Caenorhabditis elegans: one gene and its partners. The protein of the gene in region 3 purifies or fractionates together with the protein of the main gene of each other region. This does not show direct contact. Each region holds a gene or a part of one and is shown on either strand. Other genes may lie near its edges.

Region 1 (4,950 bases), on a different chromosome or scaffold from region 3:
TGACATGCTCTACGTATCCCGTTTAAAAGTTGAACTTGATCAACGAATGCGTGATTCACAGTTCTTTATTGAAGCAGAGAAAGACGACGAAATTAAGCGTTATTTGGATAAATATTCGAATATTAAGAGGGAAAAGCTTAGCATTGGTACGGAAATCTAGGTGAAATTGTGTCTCAATTTCAGAAAAAACAAAAAAAAAATTTGAAAATTCAACTTTTTGGCTAAATGAGAAGAGCGGCCAATCAGCGATTTGCTCCGCCCATTTTTCAACCAATCAGATGGAATGGGCGGAGTTGGAAGATGCTGATTGGTCGGAGAGTTCGAGGAAATTAGCCAAAAAAAGATTGAATTTTTCTATTTTCTGTAGCGCTTTTTCTGAATTTAAGGCGATTTTTTAACCTTTTCAAATTCATAAAATCCATTTTAGATATGTCCCATATGCCGAATGAGCTCATTTGGCGCCGAGCTAGCTCGAAATCCAAGGAATCTTTGGCAAAACGACGAAAAGTCGCCAATGACGATTCGATGATCAAGGAGAAGTTGAAAAAATTGGAAGAAAAAGAAGCACAGAATAAGGATGATGATGATGACGATGAGAAGGCTGATAATGATGTAATAGATATTTTAATTTCAGATTTTTGACATTTTATATGGGACAGGGCATTTTTTAGCACTTTTTTTTCAGAAAAAATCGAAAAATAATTTTCAGAAAAATCGAAGTAAATAAGTAGAAGAAATGCACGGAAAATGACGAGAAAACTAAAAATCGAAATTTTTCGTTTTTTCGAGAAAAATAATCAAATTTTCAATAATTTCGGGTTATTCCTCATGAATTGCAAAAAAAAAATATTTTCTCATCAAAATTGGCATATCTTTTGATGAATCTAGAGTTTTCTCGTCCCTTTATTTCTGAAAATAAAATTTAATTTTAGTTGAAACATTTGGAAAACTGCTCAAAAAATGTTCGAAAGTTGGAAATTTCTAATTTTCAGACGATTTTTGAGTGGTTTTTCAATTGTTTCAACTAAAATAGGAGCTATTTTCAGATAAATCACTACATTTTAATGAAAATAATTGGAAAAAAATCATATCTTAATTTCAGAAAGACTCTGGCAGTGAAAAATCCGCGGCAGAAGAGGAGGAGAATCCATTATCAGATGATGACAATCAGGAGGAGGATAACGATTACATCTCGGCTTACTTTGATAATGGAGAAGGATATGGGGACGGCGGTAGCGATGATAATTTGGATGCCGATGATATTTAAAGAATCTCCGGACACTTTTTTTGTTGTTTTTGTTGTTTTTCTCTCAATTTTTGAATATCATTGTTAAATATATGAATTTATTTATTGATTTTCCCTTAAATTTAACCCTTTTATTCGTTATTAGCTTCAGATTTAACCAATTGGTTCAGAAAATCGGTTTTTTCAAGGAAAAAAGTGTCCAAATAATGATTACGCAATCGCGCTCCATGGACAACTAATTGAACGCACCGTTTTCCCGCCAAATTGAACGCAGCTCCGATATTTTTTATCCTTTCTTGGGGTTTTTTATAGTGAGAAACACAATTTTAAGCAAATATTTTATTGTTTTTAATCAATTTTAAACGAAAAATATATTAGAATTGTTAATTTATCGTTTCGCAATCTCATACTCATCTTATTTTCTCGAAATCTTGGAGAATATCGGGGGTTTTTCGTTTTTTACGTCAGGAAAGTGCGGCGAAATCCGTATAAATTCGGTGAAATTTCATGAATTTGACTGATATCGTTCGGTAAAACCTAAAAAACCCTATTTAATTGGAGAACAAAAAGGAAAATCGTGTTTTTTTTTCGAAATTCGCTGTAATTCGTTTCCTACCCCCGTTTTCCACTCAAAAATCCACAAACTTCCCAATTTCAGAATATTTCAGATATAAATTCACAAGGACTAACCCCACACCGCTATGGGAATTAAAGGACTCTCCCAAGTGATTGCTGATAATGCTCCCTCCGCGATTAAAGTCAACGAGATGAAGGCGTTCTTCGGAAGAACAGTACGGGAATTTTTTCCTTAGATTTGCAAAATTGAAGGTTCAAAAATTCGAAAAAATAATTTTTTAAAGCGAAAATCTCCAATTTCGTCTACTTTTCTGTGCGCCGCAGTCTGATTTTCATATTTTAAAATATTTTAGTCGTTTATCTCCTGCTATTTTGTTGATTAATGATTTATCGGTTCGACGCGATAAATCAGAAAAATTTGAAGATTTTCAGCTCTAAAATTGGCTCATTTTTACATAATTTTGAACATTTTGAAGAAATTTCCGGGTAAATGTCTTAAATTTCGACGAGTTTTGAGTCTTTACAAGCAAAAAAACAAAAAAAAATGTTTTTTTTTCAGGTAGCAATCGACGCATCAATGTGCCTCTACCAATTCCTCATTGCTGTTCGTCAAGATGGTTCCCAGCTTCAAAGTGAAGATGGAGAAACCACAAGTCACTTGATGGGAATGCTGAATCGTACGGTTCGAATGTTCGAGAACGGAGTGAAGCCTGTCTACGTTTTCGACGGAAAACCACCGGATATGAAGGGTGGAGAGCTTGAAAAACGTTCCGAGCGTCGTGCTGAAGCAGAAAAAGCGCTGACTGAGGCCAAGGAGAAGGGAGATGTTAAGGAAGCGGAGAAGTTCGAGAGAAGACTCGTAAAAGTCACAAAACAACAGAACGACGAGGCGAAGCGTTTGCTGGGATTAATGGGAATTCCAGTTGTCGAGGCTCCATGCGAGGCAGAAGCTCAGTGTGCTCATCTCGTGAAAGCTGGAAAAGTATTCGGAACTGTCACTGAGGATATGGACGCGCTGACCTTCGGCTCCACGGTTCTTCTCAGACATTTCCTGGCTCCAGTCGCCAAGAAAATCCCGATCAAGGAGTTCAATCTTTCTTTGGCTCTCGAAGAAATGAAGCTAAGCGTTGAGGAATTTATTGATTTGTGTATTCTTCTCGGCTGTGACTATTGTGGAACTATTCGAGGCGTCGGGCCTAAGAAGGCTGTTGAGCTGATCAGACAGCACAAGAATATTGAGACGATTCTTGAGAATATCGATCAAAATGTTCGTCGTTCGTAAAATGCCTATTTTATTATAAACGCGCTCCACGGCAAATAAATGCCCCGAACCATGGGTCTCGTTAGGTACTTGCCGGTGAAATCATAAATTCGAATTTTTCACTTAGTTTTGCCTTTTTTTTTAAATTAATTTTGGCATGAAAATCAATGGAAACAACTAAAAAAGCCGAAAAATTCAATAAAAAATTAGCAAATTTTGAACTTACGGTTTTGCCGCCAAATAGCTAACGAGGCCCATTATGCGTGCAAGCGTAATTTTTCGAGAAAAAAAAAATCGAATTTCCAATATTTTCCTGTCATTTTTCAATTTATTGGAGAAAAATTATTTTATTTTTCTCATCAAACTTTAAAAAAAGCTATATTGTTTCTCCTAAAGATTTATTATTGAAAAAATTATGAATTTGTTCGTTTTTCGATTTTTTCTCTGAAAAAAACTCGAAAAATTGAAAAAAAATAAATCGAAAGTTTTCAATGTTTTTTGTGAAAAAACTGACAAAAAAAAGCGGAAATTTTCAGTTTTGTCTAAAAAAATCGAAAAATTTCAATTTCCTACTAGAAAAAACCGAAAAATGGAAAATTTTCTTTTTTCTCTTAAAAAAAATCGAAAAATTTCACTTTCCTTCTAGAAAAAAACCGAAAAATCGGAATTTTTTAAACAACACTTTTGGCTCGAAAGCGGAGCCTTTTGAATTAGCAGTGGAGCGCGTTAACACATCGATTTCAAATTGGATTTTTCTGCGGATCTATAATATATCTAATTTCTAAAAAAAATTCCAGAAATACCCACCACCAGAGGATTGGCCATACAAGCGTGCTCGTGAGCTTTTCCTCAATCCAGAAGTGACAAAACCGGAAGAAGTTGAACTGACATGGAAGGAAGCCGATGTCGAAGGTGTCATTCAGTTCTTGTGCGGAGAGAAGAACTTCAAGTTTGTCCCCATGAACCTCATGAACTTCATCTAATTTTTCTTTCATTTCCAGTGAGGAGCGCATCCGAAACGCGTTGGCAAAACTGAAGACTAGCCGTAAATCTGGAACACAAGGACGAATTGACTCGTTCTTCGGAAACTCGACCAAGGTTACATGTGTGACAGCTGCGACAAAACGAAAGGCGGAGGAAGCTGAGAAGGCGAAGAAGGGAGCAAAGAAGGGTGGACCACCGAAGAAGAGAGCCAAGTAGCTCACACTAACTATTCAATTTCTTATTTGATTTTTGTGAAATATTGATTGAAACGAAATAAGGTTTTTATTTACCTTTATCCTTTTTTTAATGGAACACACAAAGCTAAGAAAACAATAAAAAATTTGGAAATTTTCAATTCCGTCAATTTGCCGATTTGCCCAACACCCATTTGCTGGAAGTTTTCAGGGTTTTTTATAAGACTGACCAATTTGGGAAATTTGAATTTTTCAATTCCGGGAATTTGACGATTTGCCGGAAAAAAATTTTGCGGCTTACCTCTGATGCATACTATTACGGGAACACTAAATTCTGAGAATGCGTATTGCACAACACATCTGACGCGCAAAATGTCTCGTAGCGAAAACTACAGTAATTCTTTAAATGATTACTGTAGCACTGTGTCGATTTACGGGATCTCGATTCTTGGCATGAATTAGTAAAATTATTATTTATGGATTGAATATTAAAATTTAGCGAAAAATGACGAAATAATACAAGAAACGGAGGAAAATTATAAATCGCTATCGATATTCAAAAAGAAATTATAAAACATTCCGAAAATCGAGCGCGTAAATCGACACAAACCGTACAGTAGTCTTTAAAAGAATTACTGTAGTTTTCGCTACGAGATATTTTGCGCGTCAAATATGTTGCGCTATCCGCA
Region 2 (7,674 bases), on a different chromosome or scaffold from region 3:
AAACTTCTGAGAATCAACTTATTCAAATTTCGTTCCAGTATTCAGCTGCTCATGCACCATGTGCCACGCTGGATGTGCTCGTTAGTCATAATATCCTCCACAAAGCAAGGACTATGACTAGAGACACATTCAGCTTGGCGCCGAATGCATTTTATTTTTAAATTTTATCTTTAAAAGTTTCCCTAATTTCTACATTTTTCTTCAATATACAATTGATTCTTCTTATCTGACTACCAAATCATCTCGAGTCTCCAGTTCTCCCGGGGAGGCGATTCCATGTGTCTCTCTAAATCTCATTGTTCGCCTGAATGTCTAAAATGTTCGACCTCAAAAACGGTAGAGGCCCAAGGACACGCACACACAGTGTGTGATCGATAGGGGAATAGAAAACAGTAGGAACAAGACGTTGGATGCAACGAAGAAGGACACAGACCGTTTACGACTTGTCATCGTCATTTCTCAAGCGACACAAACGATGAAGACCTGCATATAGGTTGGAAGCTTTGGAAATATAGGCATTTTCATTGCAAGAAGACTCTTCTCAATAATTCTTGAGACTCACATAAATAGAAAAATAACTTTTAAAAACAGTGAAATTAGGTAGGGGTAAATAATTTAGGCATAAGGGCGATAATTATATTACAGCAGTTTCCCTCATGTAAAAATACAAACTTAATATACGGGATGATTTGGGGGAGGATGGGGATGGTTGAGATCGTTAAAACGATTTTAAAATGATTGGAAAGAAAATAAATTAGAAACACTTAAGGAAGGTGGGAAACAAATTAATTTAATCCGAGTCGGAGTCGACGACGCGTCCCCTCTTCTTCTTTGGCTGATCCGAATCGGATCCTGAATCCACGTCGTAAGTTGGTGGCGCCTTGCGAGCTCTTCCGCTGAAATAATTACATTTTTTAAAAATAATTTTCAAACTAACCTCTTCTCTCTTGGAGCCACAACGAAGCTTTCGTCGTCTTCATCATCGGAACCAGCGGCCTTCTTTCCGTTCTTCTTTGAAGCACCAAAGAAATCGGTCACCGCCTTCGACTTGGGCTCGGCCGTCTTCGGAGCAGCCTTCTTTGGAGACGGCTTTTTGCTGGTGGACGGCTTCTTCTCAGCTTCTTCATCACTGTCGCCGCCAGACAGATCGCTGAACTCGCTCTTTTTCTTCTTCGGAGCAGCTTTCTTCGCTGGAGCAGGCTTCTTTGCAGGAACTTCATCATCATCTGACAAATCGATAACTTCCGCTTTCGCAGCTCCTTTTCCAGTACGAGGTTTTGGCTTTGAGACGACATCCTCACGCTCCACACCGTCATCGTCCGAATCGAAATCGATTCCTTCCTGCAAAAAATATTTTAGAAGTTGAAGAAATTACAGAGGAAATCTTACATCGAACTCCACGTCACTTTCCTCTGACATGTCAGAGTTGAAGCCGTCGCTTTTCTCCTTCTTCGCAGTCTTCGGAGCAGCTGGAGACATGAACTTTTTAATGTCCTGGCCTTCCTTTTTCACCTTCTTTGGTTCTTTCGGCTCCTTTGGCTCTTTCTTGACGCGTTCCTTCTTTGGCTGAGACATCTTCTCATATTTGGCCTTGGTTGCAGCATCCAACATCGGCTCAATGCGCTGTCCATCTTTGGATGGAAGGACTTCCGTGCACACATTCTTCTTGGGTCCACGTCCGGTCTTTGCGTCGGCAGCAAGCTTTTTGGCGGCATTTTTGATGCTGGCATCTTGATCAGCTTTCTCGCGAGCCTCCTGTTTGTCCAACTCAGACACGAAGTTGTCCAGATCCTCATGCCAAAGATCTTGCCAGGTCTTCTTCTCGATAACTCGAACCTCAGCCATCTTCTCCTCCGATTCCTTGATGAGCTTATTCTTCTCTTCTTCCGAAAGCTTGATGAGAGCCATTCCGACAAGGTAATCGTAGTCTGATAGCTTGGTTTCAACGGCCTTCGCAGCAGAGGAAATGGCTTCGTCCTCTTCGACGGCGACAGCAGCTAGATCATCTTCGTCCAGCTCGATCTCTCCAGATTCACGAAGCTCTTTGAGTTTTTGCTCCTCCTTCCACTTCTTCACTGGATCAGCATCGAACTTCATCTTGATCAAAACATCGACAATCGCCGCCTTCTTCTTGTTCTCGAGAACAATCTCGTTGTTGATCTTGGCGAGGATGAAACGAGCCTGGTTAGTGAGACGCTTGCTCTGAGCCTGAAGAACTCCGAGAAGGTACTCCTTTCTCTGTACGTACTTCTCTTGGCGACTATCGTAGAACTCTTGAGTAATCGCTTCTGGCGAAGTGTATGTACGAAGACATCCGGCAGCATCGAAAAGTACCATGCACGTAGTGTTGATGACAGCTTGGAGCTTGAAGACTTGATGAAGATCCTGACCGCGCTCCAATTCACGAAGTTTTCCCGGCGAGAGCTTCACGACGAACTTGACAGTTGTATCTGTGTGATACTCTTTGTAGTCGACGATAACAGGCGATTTCTTGTCCGAGCTCTCCATCAATCCTTCCAAAACCTTCTCTTTGTAGTCTTGAGTCCACTGTTTGATTGGCAACTCGGTGATCTCAATGGTGTTGTCATCCAGCACAGCAACTTCACCATAGCATGCAAATCGACTCGGGTCGATTTGAATGATCTTTCCGCGGAAGTTCTTGTACCATGGAGCTAAGGCTTTCTGTGGCTCGCCGGCGATAAGACGCTTGATGTTCTTGACCAGTTCACGTGGATTGTAATTAGGAATGTTCGTGGACCATCCAGTACCGATGCCTTGAGCTCCATTGACGAGTACCATTGGAATAATCGGGCAATACCATTCTGGCTCAATACGCTGATTTTCTTCATAAAGGAAACGAAGGACATTGTCATCGTGAGCCGGGAAGAGTGTACGAGTGACTGGCGACAGTTGAGTGAAGATGTAACGAGCTGAAGCACTGTCCTTTCCACCTTGGAGACGAGTACCAAACTGTCCGATTGGAAGAAGCAGGTTGATGTTGTTGGAGCCAACGTAATCTTGAGCGAGATTCACAATTGTTCCCATAAGCGACTGTTCTCCGTGATGGTAAGCAGAAATTTCAGCGACAGCTCCAGCCAATTGAGCTACTTTGACTTCACGCTTGTCTGCTCTCTTGAAGCACGCGAAGAGAACCTTCCGCTGTCCTGGCTTGAAACCATCCACAAGGCATGGAATTGAACGCTCGTTGTCGAGATTCGAGAAGAGGACCAATTCACGATTGACGAAATCTTTGAAGGTGACGAATCGAGTGTCCTTGTTGTAGAGATATTCTTCAGCAAGTCCCTGCTGCTTTCGGTCCTTCTTCTCCCGCATCCACTTCGAGAGCCAGTCTTTTCTCTCTTCAATCTTCTTCTTCGAGAAAGCCATGTCGACAGCGTTATCATCATCAGCTCCATTGTACTTGAAGCGGATACGATGACGAACCATGTCCAAGAAGTATTCCTTAGCTTCCTTAGAAGTCGATGTACCCAATCCCTTGTAGTACTTGATCTTGTACGACTTCCAGTTATCCGTATTCATTCTCCACTCAGAATATTCTGGGAGCGAATAGAAGGAAACTTCTTCTTTTCCTTTGGTGGCTTTGACAATTGGAGTGATGAATTCTTCTACGAAGTTCCGCTGAATGAGAGAAGGCCAGAAGTGATGGATGAAATTGATCACGAGTCCTTTGATGTGTGAACCGTCTTGATCCTGATCAGCCATGACCATCAGTTTACCGTATCGAAGAGTCTTGAAGTCATCTTCTGTCTCGTACTTCTTCTTGTATTGGAGTCCCAGAATTTTGATCATGGCATTGACCTCAGCATTATCGGCGATTTGTTTCATATTTCCTTCTCGGACATTTAGCAATTTTCCTCGAAGTGGGAATACTCCATATTTGTCGCGTCCAACGACTGAAAGTCCCGAAACAGCAAGCGTTTTGGCCGAGTCTCCCTCCGTCAGAATTAATGTGCATTGTTGGGAATTTTTGGTTCCAGCGTCGTTGGCATCTTCAAGCTTTGGAATGCCCTGAAATAAATATTAATTAAAACAAGGCCACGAATTAGATGAATTGTTACCTTCAGCTTGGAAGTCTTCGTCTTGGAGCACTTTTTGTTGAGGTCGTCCATTTGTTTGAAGCGAACCCAACTCATAACAGCATCGGTGATTCCAACACTTGAAGCCGCTTTGGAGAACTTCTCGCTGAGGACGCAGGTCGATCCGAACTGCTTCTGCTGCAGGGTCATAGTCTCTTTCGTCTGGGAGTCGAATGTCGGATTTTCGATCAAGCAATTCACAAAAACCCACATGTGATTTTTGATCTGAAAATTTTGATATAAAATTGAATATTTGGAAAATTTATTAGATTTGAATTCGCATTAGCAATTCCTCGCCTCAGATTCGCCTTTTAGTAATCACAAATCATCGGAAAGTTTAAAAATGTTGCGCCGCGCCTTTAGACACTGGATAAAAACTTTCTCCAGCGTCACTAAAGCGTCGCAATTTTATTTTTCACTTGGTGCACCGATACTTCAAAAGAATCGGTGAAATCTCTAGAAAAACCTTGAAAATTTTCAGATTTCTCTTATTATCGAGTCACCAAAGAGTTCATATAGCTATTTTGAGTCATCATTGGCGGTAAATATTTTAAATTCGACGAAATTTACCTGGAATGGCTTGATATTCATCGACGTCTTTGTGAGCTTCCGCTTGATCGAGTCGATGAACTTGGCGACCATCTGATCAGCCACGTAGTCCACGTGCCGTCCTCCTTTTGTGGTAGCAATACTGTTGACAAATGACACTTGTTGGAAGCCTTTTTCCGAAAGAGCCAAGGCGACTTGCCAACGATCTCCAACTTGCTCGTATGCGATCTTGAGGGGTTCTCCTTCATTGTTGAACTGCGAAGTGTACATTTGGACGTAGTCCTCGAATCCTTTGATTGGAATTCGTTTTCCATTGAGGAACACGGCGACTCCTTTACTGGATCCAGCCACATCATACGCACGCCGAGCCATCAAATGGCAGATGTCATCGTCCAGCTCCTTCATCTTGAACTTTGCCAGATCCGGCGAGAATGTGATCTTCGTGAAGTCTTCGTCGGTGCTCTTAACAATCTTCGGCTCCTCATCACGCGTCATGTTTTTGATCCACGTTTGCTTGAATGCACTTTTGTAATCCCGTGAAGACGTCTCCAGAGTGAATTTTGTGGAGAAGATGTTGCAAAGCTTTGCTCCATATCCGTTGCGTCCTCCCGTCACTTTCTTCTCATCGTCATTGTAGTTAGAAGATGTTAGAAGAGTTCCAAAAATCAGCTCTGGGACGTAGACTTTCTCCACTTTGTGCTGAGTGACTGGGATTCCTTTGCCATTGTTGTAGACAGAGATCTCATTTTTCTCCCTGAAAGAAAGCAAAATTAAATTAAATTCCTTTATGCTACGGTCTAAACTTACTTATTGATGGTGATCTTGATTGTGTTCATCTTCGGATCTCTCTGTTTGTTGTCAGCGGCATTCACAAGAATTTCATCATAAATCTTGTAGAGTCCCGGCACGTATGAGATGTCACGCTGCTCCAGCTTGCTCTCCTCCATGTTGTAGACCCACATCGGCGTCTTCTCGGTATGCTCGACCGAACCGATGTAGGTGTCCGGGCGAAGAAGAATGTGCTCGAGTTGGGACTTCTTTTGGTAGATATCCTCGATCGCCATTTGTTTCGAGCCACCACCTTTTTTGTCGATCGACGTGAACACATTGCGGTCCTCTTCAGTCATAACCATCGACTCGTTGGCTGAAAAGAAGCAAATTAGATTCAAGAAACTCTACAAATTAACCAACCATCATCTTTCTTTTTCTTCGGTGACGCCTTCTCCTTCTTTGGTGCGGTTTTCTTCTTGGGTGAATCTTCGATAGAGAATTCACTATCAGAGTCGCTCATTGTTAGAGATCTGGAAAAAGATGACATTTAATTTTAGGACGATCGGGAGAAAGAGAGAAAGAAACGCGGTGAATATTCAATAAACTTGAGGATGCGAAGAAAAATGAGTGAAGAGAAAAAGAACTAGCACACCAGTGGACATCACTGGACACTGAACACTGAATCGATGCAAGACAGCCGGCTAGAGAGCGCACAAAAAAACAACTGAGCGCGCCAAAATGAGCGTCCGATTCGAAATTGGCGGCCTAAGAGCGTCGGGTCTCGCAGCGAACGCGCGAAAAATACACAGCTGAAACGAGTGTTACCGTAGTTGTAGCCTCGAAATACGAAATTTAGTTTTTGTGTCTGCGTCTCTTACGGAAATGCATTGCGAGATAGAAGTTGTGTAATTTTTTTGCGAAAAAATTCAAAAAAAGTAACTTTTTGTTCTAAATAATGTTTTATTTATTTTAGAGAGCTCAAAATGTGGATTGAGATTCGTAAATTTTACGAACTCATCGTCTCCTTCACAGCTTTCGATGACGACCGAAAAATAAACGAGCTGTTCAACGAAATCGAGAAATACAGATGGCGATTGAGCAATATTCTTTTGAATCCGGTATGTTTTCCGACTGATGTTAGTGTAATAAACCTTTCTAATTGAAGAGACGAACGGGTAAAGATCGGGAAAAGCTGAAGCCAGGAAATGTGGAAATGGCAGGAGTGGAAGTTGCGCTAGACGAGGAAATCTGTTCGGAAGCACTCATTTTGTCGGATATCTTTCAATTAAATGAGCTGGAAGCTGTGGATTTGATTTTGGCCGGAGAAGCTCAAAAAATACATTTCGAAGGCCTCAACAGAGGATTAATCGCTGTCGTTTGCTACTATGATGCGCACAGGCTCCTAATCGCAACAATGCGCCAAATGCTAAAATGGGACCGAGAGGATATTCCTCAACGTATCAGCAAGTTCCTCAATAGCACATTCATCAACGAGGACGTGATCAAAAACCTTTTTCGTGGGTTTTCAAAAAATTATATTATCATAAATATTACTAATTTTTTTTTCCAATTTTCAGAACAACTAATCAATTTCACCGTTCAATCAGAATTTGCACGACTTCAATCTCCAGATGTCAACGGTTTAGGAGGCTCTAAACATCAGAAATTGGTACCGAATTGATTATAATTTTGGAATTCTTTCATAAAATTAATTTCAGGTCAGAAATGCCATTGAGGAGATTCGAAGTGAAGTAATTGGTTGCATTTCGATGATCTGTGAGATTCCGGGAGGAAACGCAGTTTCGATTTCAAATCATTTATTCCAAATTGTAAAGGCAGTTCCACCGGAGAAGCTCAGTTGTAGTAGCTTGACAGCCTGGATTTCTCTCGTTAAAATCACATCGAGTGAAGTGTTGTCTCAAGGTAATATTTGAAGATGGAGTAGCGATTTTTCTGTTTTTCTTTTGTGGTTTTTCTGTATTCGAGAATATTTTCGATTTTCTAAAGCAATTCTCGCTACTCCATCTTCATGCCTATACCCAAAAATCCAGTTACAAATCTGTTTGAGAGTTTACAGTTCACGATGCTCAACAAGTGCTCACAAACATGATCGCCCACATTCGGAATGAAACAGACTGGTCGGATCAAGCAATGTGCGGAACTCTACAGCTAGCATGCGCTGTTGCTCTGAAATCGATTGCCTCATCGCCATCAGATCATCTAGGGATCGAGAATATCAAGGTGGACGTGGAAAGAG
Region 3 (6,057 bases):
ACCGCAGACGGTATTGAATTGGAGGGGAGCAACACAAGGACACACGATGAATGGCCTGACGAAGAGGGGCACAATAGGGGCTCTCCTTCTCCGTCGCCGCCGCCGCAGTCGACAGTCTTTCTCTGTTTCTTTCCTGTCTTTTCCATCACTTTCCTCCGGACGTCGTCATCGTTGTCCCGGTCACTACCTTAACCACCAGGCTGTTTGTGTTCAATTACCTGCGGGCGTTTTGTGTATGTTCGCGTCTGTATGTGAGAGATGAGGATGAAAAAGACAGAAAGAGAGAGAGACTAAGAACACGCTGTAATTACACAGCAACCTCATCCTCTGGATAATACTGACCGCCAGTGTGTCGTGTCAACAAGTCGGCTTAAATTATGAAGTAATTAGTCGCTCGTTCGTGGGTTATAGAATGGACTGTCCAGAATGAATTGACACGACATACTTTTTAATAATTCTTTACAGATGAAGGAGAATTCAGTGGCCGATCCTACATTTCTTCCACGTGTTACAAAATGTCATTTTAGAACGCTCACTCTCACAGAAATAAAGCAAATTCACTTTCTAGACAAAGCGAGTCAAACGGCAACTTTCATCTTGAAGTCAGGTCCACACAAGTACAAAACTTCAGCCAAGCTATGGAAGTTTTAAAGTTTAAACCCTGGAATTTCACTAGATTGTAACCAGAACTATACTTTGCAGAGATCACTGGAAGAAAAAGCTTGAACTATTTAAATTTTTATGCGATATTTTCAAAATGAAGAATTGCGTCATTAAACTTGACTCCAGCAAAACGATCAAAAGTTTCCCAATTCAAACAAACAAAACGCTCTCGAAAAAAACGAGCCGATCATCTTGCATCTTCCTCTTTGTAGTCAAATTTGAATTCGCAATTTCTCACTTTGATAATATCGAAATATTTATAAAAATTTCAGACGTAATATTTTAAACAGATTTATCTTGAAAACTACTCACCTTCGGTAGTTGAAGCTCGCTGTCACTCAGATCTTCTCTAACGTCGCCGTGTATTGAGTGATCCGATCCATAATCGAGCTCGTCGTCCATGTCTCTGCTGAAATAAATAAAATTTAGATACATTTAAACTGTTATGCACAATGAAGACAAGGGAGAAAAGTTCAACAATGAATAAATATATTTTTCAATGATCGAAAAGAGTTTGAAGAAGGCGTTCAATATATCTCGCAACAATAACTATTTTAAACGAGTAGAAAATGTTCAAAGGACGGTAAATATGCTTTTCGCGCAATAAAACTCGAGAGCTGAAAGCAAAAAGTCGAGATTGAACAAAATAAGGTAATACAAATTTATCATAGCGCATTAGCTTGATTTTTCGAAAAAAAAAACATATAAAAGAATGCGAGGAAATAGTGGCCAGGTTTTTCTCAGTGAAAAACGCTTCCAAACAAAACCGTAAAATCGATTGGCCCAAAAAACAGATTTCAAACAGCGCGGTAGAAATGTTTTTGCAGTGGAGCGCACATTCGCTACCCAAAATGCGCGGCAAAACAAAGCGAAAAGATTTGGAAATAAAAAAAATTGACTTTCAATTCTTATTTTATTGTTTTATTTATTGATTATCACAATCTAAACGGATTTTCGATGTTATGAAACTTTAAATTCCCACCTAATCGCCTTAATTCTCTCCCTATTAAATCTTTAAACGTTTGTTCAGACAAAAAAACGATTCGCGGCGTTTCGTTTGAGCACGTTTACATTACTATTTTGACAAACAATTTCTTTCTACTTTCATAGTTTATTTATTGTTCTAATGCTGAGTTTTATCAGAAATGACCTCCAAGCGTCCTGGCGGGAGCTCGTTTCAACCAGAAGTGAAGCGAAAGCGTGAAAGTGACGAATTCGAGCAGTGTTACGTTGTAAGTTTTTCATATTATGATTTCAAGCTTTTAAAAATTGCATTTTTTATTTTTAATGATCACTAACCATTTATTTTCAGTCAAGATTCGAAAATGAACTTCCATCTGTACCAACGATTGATAAAACAGGATGGGCCAGGCCAGCAGTCGATAAAGATCTCGGAATTAGCAAAAGCATTGCGTGTCAGATCTTAGAGGTCGAAACGTATCATGAAGACGGCTCTGCAACATCTTACGACAGAACAAATGTGAAGTTGTATGGTGTAACCAAATCTGGAAATTCGATTTGTGTCATTGTGACTGACTACTTTCCACATTTTTATTTCCAGGTAATCTAAGCTTTAAAAAATAAGTATTGGTAATATTTCTTACAGGCACCACAAGGATTCGGTGTCGAGCACATTGGAACTGCACAATCTGCAATTTGCAATATGGTTGCTGCAGCAAAACGCCGAGGTGGTAGCGGTCAAGCTCAATTGCCTGGAAAAGTAGTTGATAATCTTGTTCATGTGGAGATAGTTCACGGAGAGAATCTTTATTACTTCCGCGGTGCTGATACGAAAGTTCCTTTTGTCAAGGTGTCAGGATCTACAGAAGCTCTTCACAAAGCGCGAATGGAATTGAAAAATGGAGTTAACTTGATGGGAAAGGGTCCTGTGAACGTTGGGAATTTATACGAGTCAAATATTAATGTGATTGTCATGTTCTTGGCGAAAACGAATATTGTTGGATGTGGCTGGATTGAGGTTTTGACAATATTAGTTTTTTTTTAATTCTTTATGATTTCAGATTCCTGCTGGAAAGTGCCGAATTCTTTCAAACAGTGAAAAGTCGTCTCGTTGTCAAATAGAAGTCACAGTTCCGGTCAAAAACCTGATTGTTCATGAAAGTGATGGTGAATGGGCTGGAATTGCTCCTATTCGGTAAGTTTGAAAGTTTGAACTTACTTTTGAAAAAATAACTTTTTTAGTACTTTGTCTCTGGATATCGAATGTATTGGTCGACGTGGAGTGTTTCCCGAAGCAATTAAAGATCCTATTATTCAAATAGCTAATCTTGTGAAAATCGAAGGTGAAGCAGAACCATTTGTTCGTAATTGTTTCGTTCTTGGAACATGTGCACCGGTCGTCGGTTCAAATATCATTCAATGTGTGAATGAAAAAGTTCTTCTCGAAAAGTGGGCTGAATTTGTTCGTGAAGTGGATCCCGACATTATCACTGGATATAACATTCTCAATTTTGATCTTCCATACATTCTGGATCGTGCTAAAGTTCTATCACTGCCACAAGTTTCTCATCTTGGTCGTCAGAAAGAAAAAGGCTCAGTTGTAAGAGATGCTGCAATATCATCGAAACAGATGGGAAGTCGAGTGAACAAGAGTATCGATATTCACGGAAGAATTATTTTTGATGTACTTCAAGTTGTACTTCGGGATTACAAACTCCGAAGTTATACACTCAATAGTGTCTCATATCAATTTTTATCCGAACAAAAAGAAGATGTGGAACATAATATTATTCCTGATTTACAACGAGGAGATGAACAAACTAGGAGGCGATTGGCTCAATATTGTTTGAAAGACGCATATCTTCCTCTTCGTCTGCTTGATAAATTAATGTCAATTATTAATTACATCGAAATGGCTAGAGTCACCGGAGTTCCTATGAATTTCTTACTGACAAAAGGTCAACAAATCAAGGTAAATCAAAATATATTTTAAATTATAATACTGAAATTGTTGTAGATTCTATCAATGATGCTACGAAGATGTAAGCAGAACAATTTCTTCTTACCGGTAATTGAAGCCAATTCTGGGGATGGTGAAGGATACGAAGGTGCTACTGTCATTGATCCGATTCGAGGATTTTACAATGAACCAATTGCAACACTTGATTTCGCTTCTCTATATCCATCCATTATGATTGCTCATAATCTCTGTTACACGACACTTTTAAAATCCCCACAAGGAGTTGAGAATGAGGATTATATTCGGACACCATCTGGCCAATATTTTGCAACCAAATCTAAGCGCCGTGGGCTTCTTCCCGAGATTCTCGAGGATATTCTGGCTGCAAGAAAACGAGCGAAGAACGATATGAAAAACGAGAAAGACGAGTTCAAAAGAATGGTTTACAATGGACGACAATTGGCGCTTAAAATCTCTGCAAATTCTGTTTATGGTTTCACTGGTGCAACTGTTGGAAAGTTGCCATGTCTCGAGATTTCTCAATCAGTTACAGCTTTCGGAAGAAAAATGATTGACATGACGAAACTCGAAGTGGAGAGAATTTACAAAAAAGGAGCTCTCGATGGAAAATGTCCAGCAGATGCGAAAGTTATTTATGGCGATACAGATTCTGTAATGGTGAAATTCGGTGTCGAAACTGTAGCTCAAGCAATGGAAATTGGACTCGATGCTGCTAAAGAAGTCAGCAAGATTTTCACTCCGCCGATCAAACTTGAATTCGAGAAAGTTTACTCCCCATATTTACTTATTAACAAAAAGAGATACGCTGGCCTTTACTTCACTAAACCGGATGTTCATGACAAGATGGATTGTAAAGGATTAGAAACTGTTCGCCGTGATAACTGCCCTCTGGTTGCAAAAGTTCTCGGTGTTTGCCTCGAGAAATTACTAATAGAAAGAGATCAACAATCTGCTTTGGATTTTGCGAAACGGACAATTAGTGACTTGCTCTGCAATAAAATTGATATCTCATTGTTGATTATCAGTAAGGAATTAACAAAGTCTGGAGATGTAAGTTCGATTTCAAAACCTTACGAAACTAATTGATTATGTTCAGAAATATCAAGCAAAGCAAGCTCACGTTGAGTTGGCGGCTCGTATGAAGAAAAGAGACGCTGGAAGTGCACCAAGACTTGGAGATAGAGTTCCATATGTTTTTGTCGCTGCTGCAAAAAATGTTCCGGCATACGAACGAGCTGAAGATCCAACTTTTGTACTTCAAAATAACATTCCATTGGACACCAAACACTACTTGACTAATCAACTCGCCAAACCACTTGCCAGAATTTTCGAGCCCATCTTGGGTGATAGAGCAGAAAAGATTCTGGTGGAAGGAGAACATACAAGAGTTCGTACAGTCGTTCAGAGTAAAGTTGGAGGTCTTGCAGCGTTCACAACGAAATCTGCAACTTGTCTTGGTTGCAAGAGTGTTTTACCAAGAGCAGAATCAGAGAACGCAGTTTGCAAACACTGTGAGCCGAAGCTTCCAACGATTTTTGCTTCTAGGTAATTAGAAATGCAATAATTGTTCTACTATATTTTTCATTTCAGAATGAACACTATGCACGAACTTGAAAACCATTTTGGTCGCCTCTGGACCGAATGCCAAAATTGTGCAAAGACTATGCAAGACAAAGTGAATTGCTCGGCTCGAGACTGTCCGATCTACTATATGAGGGAAAAAGTTCGAAACGAGCTATCGGAGGCAAGTGCCGTCATCGAACGATTTGGAGATCCTTGCTTCCAGGCACCTACTAAATGAATTAATTATGATCCCGGTTTATTTGTCTAATTATTATTGACTGTGAATGATCTTACCACACTATTCATCTCATCACACATTTTTCTTTATTACTGGTTATCTTATAAACTCGCGTTGATGATTAAAACATATGTTTTTAATTCTTTAAACTTTTTTGTAAGCGATAATCGCTTAAAATACTTGTCTGATATATTAAATTTGAATTTAAAATACCACAATTTTCAGATGATCACTCGAAAAGCAATATTCTTTTTAGCATTAGCGTCAATTATTCAAGCATCAGATGATTCCGAAGCTCCCGATAATAAAAAGTCTTCAATAAGATTCACTCCATCAGTTATTGATTCTTATAGAGAAAAAGTTCAAAAAATGTTCTACCACGCCTACAACGGATATTTGGATCATGCATTTCCACTAGATGAACTGAAACCAATAACATGCGTTGGACAAGACACCTGGGGATCATTCTCTCTTTCATTAATTGATGCTCTAGATACTCTTCTGGTGATGGGAAATACAACCGAATTCCGAAGAGCAGTGTCACTTGTTCTTGAGAAAGCTCGTGATGATGCTAATGTGAATGTTTCTGTTTTCGAGACGAATATCAGAGTTGTTGGCGGATTAATATCTGCACATATGCTAGCGGGAAGGC
Region 4 (4,987 bases), 7.1 Mb from region 3:
GCATCTGCAAAAAATATTTATTTATCAGTTTTAATAAGAAAAAACGGGAAAAACTGTGAAAAACGAAAGAAAACAGGCGGAAAACAAAGCAAGATAAATGGCCGCTGAAACTTGTCGGCCCCTCGGCCATGGCCTAGAAACCCCTTTTCCTCGTCCCTCGTGAGGAAAAAGTTGCAGTGCGAATATCATGATTAAAAAATTCAAAAAAATGTTCTAGATTTTATATGATTTTTTGAAAATTGGAAAAATCACAGTTTTCACCTAATAATTTTTGAATTTCCCCCCCCCCCCCAAATTGGATTTGTTCGGCGGAGCGCGCTTGCATTATTTTTATTAATTTATTTTATCTATTCTCATTATTTCACTGATTTTCTTCATTTTCTATGTTTTTTCCTCGGAAAATGGAAGAAATAAATAGGACAAATGCGAAATGTTTTTGTTAAAAAGCAATTGAAAATGCGTAAAACCGTGATATTCTGTGTTCCGACGGCAACAAGCCCGAAATTAGTATATTTACACACAGTTTTACTCATTTTCAATTACTTTTAACAAACATTTCGCATTTTTCCTATTTCTTTCCATCATTTTCCGAGGAAAAAACACAAAAAATGAAGAAAATCAGTGAAATAATGAGAATAAATAAAATAAATTAATAAAAATAATGCAAGCGCGCTCCGCCGAACAAATCCAATTTGGGGGGGGGGGGGGGGGAAATTCAAAAATAATTGGGTGAAAACTGTGATTTTTCCAATTTTCAAAAAATCATATAAAATCTTGAATTTTTTTTATCATGATATTCGGTAATTGTGGTACCATAGGCGTGTTTTAAAGCAATTTTCCCATTGAGCGTAGTCCACCTTTAAATGTGGTGTAGTCGAATTTTTTATATATTGCCTTATTAGACTCAAAATTGTCTAAAAACACCGAATTTCATAATGAAACTTCTTGAAAACTTTTTAGAAAAAAGTTATGACAGCTCAAAAAAATGGTCTAAAATTCGTTAAAATCGGAAATTTGACTTGTCAAGCGGCTCAAAACTATTTTTTTTTGAAATCACCGTTAAATTTTAAGTTCACAAGTTGATTATCTTGCGTTTTGAACTTGATTAAGGTATTTAAAAGTCGATGGACGGCGAGTTTTTGTTTAAAACAATTGAAAATCTCGCTGTCCATCTGCTTTTAAATACCTTAATCAAGTTGAAAACACAAGATAATCAACTTGTATACTCAAAATTTGACGGTAATTTCAAAAAAAATAGTTTTCAGCCGCTTGACAAGTCAAATTTCCGATTTTAACGAATTTTAGACCATTTTTTGAGTCATCATAACTTTTTTCTAAAAAGTTTTCAAGAAGTTTCATTAATTCGGTGTTTTTAGACAATTTTGAGTCTAATAAGGCGATAAAAATAATTCGACTACACCACCTTTAAGGTGAAAAAATTGAATTTTTAACTGGATTTTCTGGTATTTTGGCACTTTTTCGGTGAAAAAATCGAAATTTTCCAACAGTAAATGCGGAAATTCGCTTTAAATTGGATCTTTAATTAGAAAAACATTGAAATTGTTCAATTTTTGGCCAAAAAATTTCGGAAAATTCCAAAAATGTAAATTATTGATTTTTCTGAAAATTTATCGATTTTTTTGGGAATTTATTGATTTTTCTAAAATTTTATTGATTTTTCTGGAAATGTATCGAATTTTCTGAAACATTATTGATTTTTCTGAAAATTTATTGATTTTTTCGAATTTTTATGATTTTTCCTGATTTTTATAGATTTAAATTTATCGTTTTTTCAGTAAAATTATCGATTTTTCTTGAATTTTATCGATTCTTTTGGAATTTTATCGATTTTTCTCGAATTTCATTCATTTTTCTAAAAATGTATCGACTTTTCTGAAAATTTATCGATTTTTCAGAAATTTCATTGATTTCTACTAAAAATTTATTGATTTTTCTGGAAATTTTCAGAATAAAAGAAATTTATAAAGAAATTTTTAATTTTCTCTGGTTTTTTGAATGTTTGCTTCCTTTTTTCGGAAATTTGAAACAATTTCGCAATTTTTAGTGAAAAAACGCAGTATTTTCTGAATTTTTGAGCCAAAATCTAAGTATTCGGCAGAAATTCCGAATTTTTCCCAAAATATTGAGCACTCTATGAAGAAAAAATCGATTTAGGGCGCATTTTCGATGAAAATTCCTGTCTTTCTATCAATTTTTCGCATTTTTCCTCGGTTTTCCACATACTTCTGGATCCAAACCAGCTCCTTGCTCTCTCAAAAGCTCAAAAAGACTATCGGAGAATTGTTTCGACTCTTTCGGGTAATGTTTCGCCAATCCGGACAGAAAAAGCACCGAATCGACGAGAGATTGCATTTCTTGACGAGATTGTTCGGGTTGCAAGTGGAGAAGTTTCATTGTTTGAACGAAATAGTTGAATTGTTCGAGGAATTCCTGCAAAAAATTAATAAATTAGAGCTAAAATCGATAAATTTCATGAAAAAGTGTAGTTTGTAGTCGAAAAATGTATGTATTTTTAATTTTTATTTGAAAAAAGTGATGTTTTAGCAGAAAATTGGCAAAATTTGGTGTTAGCAGCGCCCAAAAACTTGTAGTTTGTAGTCTTAGCAGCGCCCAAAATCTTGTAGTTTGTAGTCTTAGCAGCGCCCAAAATTGAATTAGCAGCGCCCAAAATCTTGTAGTTTGTAGTCTTAGCAGCGCCCAAAATCTTGTAGTTTGTAGTCTTAGCAGCGCCCAAAATCGAATTTTTCGTCGTTTTTTACTCAATTTTAACCCAAAATTCGCGAATTTTCTCGTTTTTTCTCGAATTTCGCACCTCTTTATAGGATTCCGGATCTTTTCGAATAATTTCTTGCATCAATCCCAAATTCCTTTCGGACATTGTGAAGCGTGAAGCTTTTCCAGAATTGGAGCCCTCCGTCGGAGCATTGCTTTTTCCATTTTTTTTGCCGACTTTTCCGATCCTTTTTTCGCCCTTTCCGGGTGATTTTGACACTTTACCCATTTTTTTGGCTGAAAATGTGTGGAGTTTAAGGTTGAAAAATTAGGAAAACAGTGGAAAAAGTAAGATTTCTGGCTGAAAACCAGTAAAAAGACGATAAAATCAATAAATAAACCCGTTTTATTAAAATTTTAGTACTATTTACACATTTTTAGATTCAAAATCCAAATATTTCCGCTCAAAATCCGAATTTCCACGTGGCTCGAGCTCCATTAGCTGAAAATTCGAATTTTTACTCATTTTTCCTTCAGAAAATCGATTAAAACCTTCGTTTTCATCTTTAAAAACGATTTTTCTTTATATTTCCCATCTTCCGGCTCTTCTGACATCACAACTCCGTCGAGCAGGTCCCGGGCGCCGATTTTCCTGAATTTCCCGTCTTTTGGGTATAAATTCACCGAGTTTTCGAATAAATCCTTTAATAATACCTGAAATTAGCTCAAAAATTAAAGATTTCGGCAAAAAATCACCACTTACGTTAGTGGCAAGCTCGAGAAGCCTCGAAATATATGAAATTTCAGAGAAATTTATAATTTTCGGGCATTCCGAACCGAATAAATCGATTATTTTCAGCAAGAACATGGAATTCGCAAAGGTTTGCTGATCTGACGGCAGAAATTGGAAAGCGTGGAGAAATTTGAAGAGAAAATCGGGAAATTGCGCCGAAATTTGCGGATTTTCACGATTTACCTGAAAATTTTGACGTTTTTCTTCAAATTTTGATGAATTTCACACTCACCTCCTTGCCAGCTTCATATGTATCAAGTTTTTGCATCGAAATCTTCACAATCAACCGGAAAACGCGCTCTTTTTCATCGCCGCTTCGAATTTCCTGGGATATTTTGTGCCATGAGCGATATATATTGTCAGAACTGAATTCTAAAATCAAAAATTAAATTTTTCAATCATTTTAAGCACTTACGATCGAAAATTTCACGAAAAATGGGGGCAATATCCATGAAAATAGGTGAGAAATCAGAGAAATTCGTCGAAAAATGAAGTGTCGATTTACGGTAAACAAGGCGCGTTGGCGGGATTTCGGAGCGTCGTTGCGTGGGAATTTAAATCAGATTAATCGGGAAACTCTATTTTTTATTGATTTTCCGCTGAATTCAATGAAATATTAAAAAAAATTGATTTATTTCGGATGAGAAAATTGTACAGAAAATCAATAAAAGAGAAATCGGGATAAACTTTTGTGGAAAATAGATTAAAAATTGGTTATTCTTCGTGCTCTTGGGCCTCATCTTGCTCCTCGCCGAGTTCTCGTTCCAATTTTTTGATTTCCAGCTCCAGTTTTCTAGATTTCATTCGATAATATGTTGTCATGGCGTCTTCCTGCAAGAAAAATGGGGTTAGCAGCGCCCAAAAACTTGTAGTTTGTAGTCTTGGCAGCGCCCAAAATTGAATTAGCAGCGCCCAAAATCTTGTAATTTGTAGTCTTGGCAGCGCCCAAAATTGAATTAGCAGCGCCCAAAATCTTGTAGTTTGTAGTCTTAGCAGCGCCCAAAATTGAATTAGCAGCGCCCAAACTTGTAGTTTGTAGTCTTAGCAGTGCCCAAAATCTTGTAGTTTGTAGTTTTAGCAGCGCCCAAAATTGAATTAGCAGCGCCCAAAATCTTGTAGTTTGTAGTCTTGGCAGCGCCCAAAATTGAATTAGCAGCGCCCAAATCTTGTAGTTTGTGGTCTAAGCAGCGCCCAAAATTGAATTAGCAGCGCCCAAAATCTTGTAGTTTGTAGTCTTAGCAGCGCCCAAAATTGAATTAGCAGCGCCCAAACTTGTAGTTTGTAGTCTTAGCAGCGCCCAAAATTGAATTAGCAGCGCCCAAACTTGTAGTTTGTAGTCTTAGCAGCGCCCAAAATTGAATTAGCAGCGCCCAAACTTGTAGTTTGTAGTCTTAGCAGCGCCCAAAATTGAATTAGCAGCGCCCAAACTTGTAGTTTGTAGTCTTAGCAGCGCCCAAAATC

What was found.
Region 1: the proteins of pold-1 (region 3) and crn-1 fractionate together in Caenorhabditis elegans (co-fractionation; one large-scale study listed by BioGRID). This does not show direct contact.
Region 2: the proteins of pold-1 (region 3) and top-2 fractionate together in Caenorhabditis elegans (co-fractionation; one large-scale study listed by BioGRID). This does not show direct contact.
Region 4: the proteins of pold-1 (region 3) and pro-3 fractionate together in Caenorhabditis elegans (co-fractionation; one large-scale study listed by BioGRID). This does not show direct contact.

What each region holds. Positions count from the first base shown.
Region 1 is NC_003279.8:3,480,083-3,485,032, forward strand, and holds crn-1 (Flap endonuclease 1), read left to right. Parts: upstream 1-1,914; 5' UTR 1,915-1,947; coding exon 1,948-2,037; intron 2,038-2,381; coding exon 2,382-3,089; intron 3,090-3,880; coding exon 3,881-4,032; intron 4,033-4,084; coding exon 4,085-4,283; 3' UTR 4,284-4,418; downstream 4,419-4,950. Other genes in the region: Y47G6A.9 (DNA-directed RNA polymerase III subunit), read left to right, coding at 1-146, 428-612, 1,103-1,267. UniProt on the Caenorhabditis elegans protein: Structure-specific nuclease with 5'-flap endonuclease and 5'-3' exonuclease activities involved in DNA replication and repair.
Region 2 is NC_003280.10:11,873,420-11,881,093, reverse strand, and holds top-2 (DNA topoisomerase 2 top-2), read right to left. Parts: upstream 5,947-7,674; 5' UTR 5,938-5,946; coding exon 5,838-5,937; intron 5,791-5,837; coding exon 5,454-5,790; intron 5,401-5,453; coding exon 4,668-5,400; intron 4,635-4,667; exon of another isoform or gene 4,540-4,634; intron 4,539-4,539; exon of another isoform or gene 4,478-4,538; intron 4,464-4,477; exon of another isoform or gene 4,392-4,463; intron 4,323-4,391; coding exon 4,080-4,322; intron 4,030-4,079; coding exon 1,390-4,029; intron 1,342-1,389; coding exon 938-1,341; intron 897-937; coding exon 791-896; 3' UTR 506-790; downstream 1-505. Other genes in the region: npp-3 (Nuclear Pore complex Protein), read left to right, coding at 6,401-6,535, 6,583-6,934, 6,995-7,086, 7,136-7,340, 7,495-7,674. UniProt on the Caenorhabditis elegans protein: Control of topological states of DNA by transient breakage and subsequent rejoining of DNA strands. Topoisomerase II makes double-strand breaks.
Region 3 is NC_003283.11:12,039,802-12,045,858, forward strand, and holds pold-1 (DNA polymerase delta catalytic subunit), read left to right. Parts: upstream 1-1,754; 5' UTR 1,755-1,808; coding exon 1,809-1,895; intron 1,896-1,975; coding exon 1,976-2,224; intron 2,225-2,269; coding exon 2,270-2,641; intron 2,642-2,684; coding exon 2,685-2,818; intron 2,819-2,865; coding exon 2,866-3,595; intron 3,596-3,640; coding exon 3,641-4,654; intron 4,655-4,700; coding exon 4,701-5,149; intron 5,150-5,194; coding exon 5,195-5,405; 3' UTR 5,406-5,546; downstream 5,547-6,057. Other genes in the region: Protein kup-1, read right to left, coding at 976-1,065; F10C2.5 (alpha-1,2-Mannosidase), read left to right, coding at 5,631-6,057. UniProt on the Caenorhabditis elegans protein: Possesses two enzymatic activities: DNA synthesis (polymerase) and an exonucleolytic activity that degrades single stranded DNA in the 3'- to 5'-direction.
Region 4 is NC_003283.11:19,115,383-19,120,369, forward strand, and holds the start of pro-3 (Protein SDA1 homolog), read right to left. Parts: upstream 3,031-4,987; 5' UTR 3,023-3,030; coding exon 2,834-3,022; intron 2,452-2,833; coding exon 2,245-2,451; intron 1-2,244. Other genes in the region: Y39B6A.13 (RsbRD_N domain-containing protein), read right to left, coding at 3,161-3,235, 3,286-3,447, 3,497-3,709, 3,759-3,898, 3,942-3,978; bed-1 (BED-type domain-containing protein), read right to left, coding at 4,241-4,357. UniProt on the Caenorhabditis elegans protein: Required for 60S pre-ribosomal subunits export to the cytoplasm. Required for normal somatic gonad development and for regulation of germline development and proliferation.